Linked DNA regions of Nothobranchius furzeri. The protein of the gene in region 1 purifies or fractionates together with the protein of each later gene. This does not show direct contact. Links are inferred from orthologs where the notes say so. Each region holds a gene or a part of one and is shown in the gene's direction. Other genes may lie near its edges.

Region 1 (4,300 bases):
ATCATGCCCTCTTCCCAAATGTCCTATTGGTGTTTTAATTGAAATGTAACAATCACAGTCTAAGATAAAGTTCATAAAGTTCACCTATATATGCAGCAGTAATTTTAGTTGCAACTTTTCCAAATATAGATTTAAATGATGGCATTGAGCCTTTTTCTCAAAATGTAAATGACTTACCGCGACTGAAGGTAAAGAGGAAACATCTTGGCCCCTGTTACTCACTAATGTTGTACACTAAACTTGAGTGGAAGAGCTCAGAATGGTCATAAGGCATTTGTCTGATTGGGTGACAAACCATGCGCTGCCTGTTAGTCTAATTTGATTACAGCTAGAGAGAAATGTGGAAAAGAAAACTTTCCATTTACCCCCCCCCCCCCCCCCCCAGGGTTTCTCCTAACAAGATAGAGAAGGAAGTTCCTTAGGTTTCAGCAAGGATGAAAAGATTTTTCAAGGTTTGATCAGGTTCACATGATTTCAATTGAATTTTTGCAGGAAAGACTCTAAACAGACCTTGAATGGGATCATAAATGTTAAAATTGGGCTAATGATTTGCAGAAATTGTTCTCCATGAGCTGTCACTGGCATTATCTGCCAATAGTTGTTATCACAGCATATGAAAGTTTTCAAACGTGCCCTATGAATAACGAGCTTTGTAGCTCCAATTTTTCTGGTTCTATACTGCCTTCCTCTGGTCAGTGCTACTCTGTGCAGCAGTGTTATAACAACCTGTTGTCAAACGTGTTTTAACTTTGGAAATAAAAAAATAAATGAAAAAATAAAAAATAAATAAATAAATAAATAAATTCGAACAGAAGAAATATGTGATTTCTGAAAAACTAAAATGAACTAAGGGAGAAAAACTATTGAAAAGTTGAATTTTTTTCTTTGTAATAAAACAATTCAACAAACCTCCCATAAAAAAATATCGGAGGTTTTGACATACAATGTTTCAGAACACATTTGCATTTACGATTTAAGAACACGGCAAGAGGCAGAATTAGAAAATATCGATCTTTAATACAACAAACATGACTTTATTGTGGAAATCATTGTTTGCACCCAGGAAAACAGAAAGCGTAGTGAATAAGACAATAAAACAACCAGATCTGGTTGAAATTAGCACATTTTTATGAGACATTTAATGCTCGAAAAACAAATCATACGATTGTTTTAGCTGGAAAAGCTGCACATTTGACAAAGGATAACTTAAAGCTTCATTTTATGATTAAATGCCGGTATAAACGTATTGCAAACGTAGCCATCACGAATATCTAACATTTTCGATGCAGAATTTCCGTTTTTAGTCATTTCTACATTTTTCACGTGATTTACGTAGCGCCTTTGAATGCACCTCTCGTAACCAAGGCAATGACGCTGTGTTTCGTTACCAAGGCATTCTCAAGGCAAACTTAGCTAAAAAGCTAAGCTAACAGATCTGCAAGATAATCTTATAGCTATGATATAGCGACAATTTAGCATCTTTAACGAGCTGAAAATACACAGAAAAGGGTTTCCTACATCCCGAGTCAACATATTTTGTCTAAAGCTTTTAGTTTGTTCCTAGAGTTGTCTAAATTAGAGTCAGAAAACCAATATTTCCTTTGGAAAAGCTCGGTCTACAAGCTACACAGCCATCATGGTAATTAGCTACTGCCGGGCATCGCGGTGTTGGCTACCTGATTTGCTTGTAGATGTCAAAATGCTGTTATGTTATGTTATGTTATGTTCCCTCTGAGCTAAAGTTAGCGAGCACTTCCATCCGTGCCAGCTCTCTTGATAAGGCCTTGTGGCATCTCGGCAAGAGAAAATCCTCTTCAAGTTAGCTGATAAGCTAACTGTGGCTACTATTACATCGATTGTTTTGGTGTATCTTCTATTTCTGAAACATTTTTTATGGGTCCAAATGTTTTTCTTGTCTCCATGCAGGCTGACTTTGGATTCAATGAACATCACCAGAATGAAATTATTAATTACATGCGATTTGCCCGTTCAAAGAGGGTCCTTAGGCTCAAGACTATTGACTCATGTTTTGAGGAACTCAAAGATAGCAGGTGAGTGATGATCACTTTTTCTGTCATTGTGTAAACGTCCTTTAATCTGATTTTGTGTAACTTTTTCTGTCATTGTGTAAACGTCCTTTAATCTGATTTTGTGTAAATAGAAATAAGATGTGATGCCTTTTCAGTTATTAGCATTTCTTAATGCGTCTGAAGGTTGGTGGAAGAGACATTCACAGTGGATGAGGTTAGAGAGATGATGGACGGGCTGCAGATGGTGGTGCGTGGAGAGGTGGAGATGGAGCTCATCAACACAGCCCACACTAACGTGCTGTTGCTCAGGCAACTTTTCTCCCAGGCTGAGAAGTTTTACCTCCGACTCCAGAGTGACATCTCAGAACTGGAGAACAGGTTTGGGAATCGGAAGTTTAATAGTCATCCTAAAGTATAAGATTTTACTTTTCTTAATGCATCATATTAAACCAACAAGTCTGAAAAGGCGATAATTGTTCTTTTTTTCAATGAAACTGTATCTAGTGGCTTTTTTGTATTTCTCATACTAGCTGTACTTATTTTCTGAAATAATTCAGTCTAATGCAAGAAAAAAATACTATAATGCAAGAACTCTTTATGTTTACAAGAACAAAAAAGCTGCCCCACTTTGTACCATACTGTATTTGACTTCCTCTTTAGATTCAGATCTCCAACATGCCATTTGCCAGGTAGAAAGGTCACTCATCCACCTGTGTTTAACTCAAGTTTCCATTGCACTAACACTTCTTCCATTACACTTATACAACAGGACTTTTTTAGATTAGATTGTGTAATAACCACAAGCTGTCACAATTCCCGTGCTTTAGGTTACAATAGAAACATGTTATCTTTTAGTTCATGCAGACTCCTGCTGTGATTTCTAATTTTATTGTTTTGGGGTGTTGAGGTAAAATCTTCAGACTTTTGGTAGAATGCTTTTAGTTTTTCTTAAATTACTTTTTTTCTATAAGATTTATTAGCATGCTGTGATAAAAAAAAAACTAAAAGCCAGGATTGTGCGAATAAAAGGCTCTCAAAGAATCTTTAGTGATCCGTTATTAGAAATAAATCTTATTACAACAAATCTGTTTATAAAAGCTTTCCAGCAAATTAAAATTATAGTTTCATTTGTGAATTTCTATAGATACTCATGCGAGTAGGTGAACATCTTCACCCGGTGGCTTGAGGCCATTTTTTAGCAAAGCAAATAGTTCTGAATGTTGAATAAAATAACACATTTGTAAATTTGGGACTAAATCAAGCTGCGTGTCCATTAAAAAAGAAAAAGCAAAAACTATTAATTTCAGCTTAAAAATACTCAGTTAAATGCTAAAAAAAATTGCTATAACTCATCACATTTTTACAGATACTGAACAAAAATTTCATGATAGCTGAGATTGTAATGTTACAAGATCACACCAAATGTTATTTCTTTTAAAAGATCTGAATTAAAACAACAGTAACTTCCTAATTTCTCATAAGATAATCTTGCAGGCAAAATGCCACGTCTAAATTTAAGTTATTTCTTCAATCTTTACTTATTATTTATAGTTTTTTTGGTAAATTGATTATTTTTATTCGTTATTCCCAAACACGAACGCATTTTTCCCTCAGTCAGCTCATTGAGCAACGTGGAGATGTACATGTGCATCTCCATGGGGCGACGGTGGCACAGGAGTTAAGTGCTCGCCCCGTAATCGGAAGGTTGCAGGTTCGAGCCCCGCTCAGTCTGTCGCTGTCGTTGTGTCCTTGGGCCTGCTGGTGGTGGTCGGATGGACCGGTGGCGTCAGTGCTCGGCAGCCTCGCCTCTGTCAGTGCGTCCCAGGGCAGCTGTGGTTACATCGTAGCTCATCCCCACCAGTGTGTGAATGTGTGTGTGTGAATGGATGAATGACTGATTGTGTTGTAAAGCACCTTGGGGGGTTCCAGGACTCTAGAAGGCGCTATATCAAATACAGGCCATTTACCATTTACCATTAATCGCTTTTGGATTCTTGGCAAAATCTTGACATTTTTGCAACAACATTTCTTTATATTCGTGCTTCAGGTTTAAAAATATACTCAAGAACACGTAACAGAGAAATAAATAAGACCAAATATTAGATTTGATTAAAAAAGGCCATCTTGATATCCAAACCGCATGCTAGCTTTCTAGAGATTTGAAGAATATATAAAATTATAAATACTTTTCATGTGCATCTTGCACAAAAGGTCATACCCTTTTGTTCTGTTCATAACATCATTTAACTTCTGGCTTCTTGTATTACTGG
Region 2 (2,877 bases), on another chromosome or scaffold:
TTTAAATTTGGATTTTTTACACAGAGTGACGTCCCCATAGATCTGCTGGACGTTGATAAGAACTCTGCTGTCGTCAGTTTTAGTGAATGTGACTCAGAGGTGAGCTGTATGAATACTTTCTTTACATAAAACCATCCTGCCTCCGCTCCAAACCGTCTGATGCTTGTTGTTATTTCAGCAGCCTAATGGGAACTTCCTCCTGGCCACATACAGATGTCAGGCCAACACTACAAGGATGGAGCTTAAGGTAAGCAGAACATTGGACTCTTGTCACTCTCTGGTTTGCAGTGAAGCCATGCAGACATGCCTTTAGTGTTTACTTTTGTTTATAAATCTATATTATCACATTAGGTCCAGTTTTCTCTGATTCTGGTTGCTTTTACTTTTTACTTAATCACTTACCATACTTGTTCAAAGAAAAGCTTTAATGCAGTGTTATACAGATGTTCTATTAAAAATTGTTACCTAATCTACTTTTTAAACCTGTTTTATAAATAATTGAACACAGAATAAAATGTTTAATCCCAAACTGAAACATTTTTATAGGTGAGATCCATTGAGGGACAGTATGGGACCCTGCAGGCTTATGTTACCCCCAGACTGCAACCAAAAACCTGTCAGGTTCGGCAGTATCAGATCAAACCACTGTCCCTTCACCAGCGGACGCACAGTATAGACCCAGACAGGTAATGATTTTAGTCTATATATACGGTATATACATGGATTTCAGTTATTCAGATTTTCTGATTAGAGCAGTCATTACTAAAAATGTATCAAATGACAGCATGGAATTATCTTGAGGCATAAGATTGCCAAAACTTATTAATAAACTCGATATCAAGAATTATGCATTTAGCCGTATTTATTAAGAGAATTGCTGTATAGCCTTCAACAAGACTACACTACACTACATTTGGCTTTTGAGAAATTGTATTATTTCCTTCTGTATGTGTTTGTTTGTTTCCGTAATCTTAGAGATTTCTCATTATAATTAGAGTTAACTCAGTAATGTGATCTCTCATTTGTTTTCTTTCAGACCCATGAATCAGCTCAATTTGGTGGGACAGTTCAGTTTTGCAGAGATTCATTCCTGGGTGGTTTTCTGTTTGCCAGAGGTGCCTGAGAAAACTCCGGCAGGCGAGAGCATTACTTTCTACTTCTATAACACATTCCTTGGCACACAGCTGGAAGCCACCTACAGGTAAATGCATGCACAAAGTAAAATAATACTGCACTCCATCTGAAATAGTACTTCAGTTGCGAACGAGTCTGAATGTCTCATTTCAGCAAAGGGGAGGGCCACTTCAAGTCCGACAATATTTCTACTATCTCTATACTGACTGATGTTCTTTCCAAAGAAGCTACCAAGAAGAAAATCAATCTAAACATTTCATACGGTATGTTTATTTTTCTTCTGTTTCCGGATAAGCTGAGACGTCTTTTGCCATCATTCAGCGACATAGAACAACATGTTTATTGATCTACCAGATATTAATGACGACTCCGTGAGCCACACCCTCAGGATGATCCACCCAAAGCTGGAGTATCAGTTGGTGCTGGCTAGAAAAGTTCAACTTGTCGATGCTCTCAAAGTAAGTTTTGGTTAAATGTGTTTTGTTGCTGTTTATTTATGATTCAGTTCATTATAGTTGAATCTATGTTTCCTAGGAACTTCAAGTTCATGAAGGAAATGCAGATTTCCTCATCCCAGAGTACCGCAGCATTTTGGATGAGTCTGCTAACCTTCTGGAGGAGTACAAGAAGCAGCCAGCCCACCTTGAAAGGCTTTACGGTAAAGCTGGAGTAAAAAGAACTAACTTTCACTGTTGATTAATTTTTGTTATTGTTGCTTTTTGATTTTCACTTTATAAAGTTTTGTGTGTATTTCTGTTTTCCTGCAGGAATGATCACTGACCTCTTCATCGACAAATTCAAATTCAAGGGCCAAAATGTGAAAACAAAAGTGTCCTCGTTGTTGGAGATACTTGATAATTACGAATTAAAGTCACTCTTAGACTTTTTCAATGAGCCATGATGCCATAATGGCCAAAGATGATCTATCTCTGTGACGGTTGTTGTGTTGCAATCTTTACATGACGATAGTTCATCTTTGAGACTGTGTTATTTTGTTAAATTTTATTTAGAAATAATTTACTCTCCCTTAAGAGTTGAGTAATAAATTACTTTTGATGTATTAAGGCGTACTGCAAATGGTTAGGAGAATACTGCAATACTCTTATTTTCATGCAAGAATTTGATGGAATTTGTTACAGTTATAGTATGTGTGTCAAATGCTACTCAATTTAATATCTAATCTTTCTGTATTAAACCAGTCCTTGTGCAGTAACTTGTCAGTAAAAAATAGCTAACACACCAATTGTTTTCAATTTTATTCCATATTATTTACATCTTAATGTAATGTACCTCATGCTACAACAGATTCGTCAAGAAACAAGTTGTTGCTGTATACTGGGTTAGGTACTTCCATGTGGATTTAAGTTTTATACACAAATTTATCTAATCAGCATAAGTGGTCATTCAACCTAATGTAAGAATAGGACACATGAAAAATAAAGCCAAACATAAAAATACAATAGTATTTAAACATTTTAAATTATAGTCTTATGAGTAATTTCTTAAACTAAACATATGTGCAAGTCTTTCAGTAAACAAGTATACTGGTGGACCTAGAAATGACCTCAAGCACGAGCCCTAGGTTAGGAAGACGTCTAAGTATGTTGAAGTGCTTCTAATGATATAAATATACATAATTGTTGCAGCAAAGATTTTTATTCCAAATGCGTTAACGTTGTTGTTACTCGCGTTTAACTTTGTATTTGGGATCTTTTTTTCAAACCGGTTTTAAATTTGCAATTA

What was found.
Region 2: the proteins of lztfl1 (region 1) and bbs7 purify together in Homo sapiens (affinity purification with mass spectrometry; 3 studies listed by BioGRID and IntAct, counting the BioPlex papers as one, with this or other methods). This does not show direct contact. The link is inferred for Nothobranchius furzeri from reciprocal best matches to the Homo sapiens genes LZTFL1 and BBS7.

Annotation. Positions count from the first base shown.
Region 1 is NC_091747.1:45,027,241-45,031,540, reverse strand, and holds the start of lztfl1 (leucine zipper transcription factor-like protein 1), read left to right. Parts: upstream 1-1,500; 5' UTR 1,501-1,636; coding exon 1,637-1,639; intron 1,640-1,926; coding exon 1,927-2,051; intron 2,052-2,213; coding exon 2,214-2,408; intron 2,409-4,300. UniProt on the Homo sapiens protein: Regulates ciliary localization of the BBSome complex. Together with the BBSome complex, controls SMO ciliary trafficking and contributes to the sonic hedgehog (SHH) pathway regulation. May play a role in neurite outgrowth. May have tumor suppressor function.
Region 2 is NC_091741.1:74,291,698-74,294,574, forward strand, and holds the end of bbs7 (Bardet-Biedl syndrome 7 protein), read left to right. Parts: intron 1-24; coding exon 25-99; intron 100-178; coding exon 179-247; intron 248-546; coding exon 547-686; intron 687-1,036; coding exon 1,037-1,201; intron 1,202-1,287; coding exon 1,288-1,397; intron 1,398-1,488; coding exon 1,489-1,592; intron 1,593-1,668; coding exon 1,669-1,792; intron 1,793-1,901; coding exon 1,902-2,035; 3' UTR 2,036-2,377; downstream 2,378-2,877.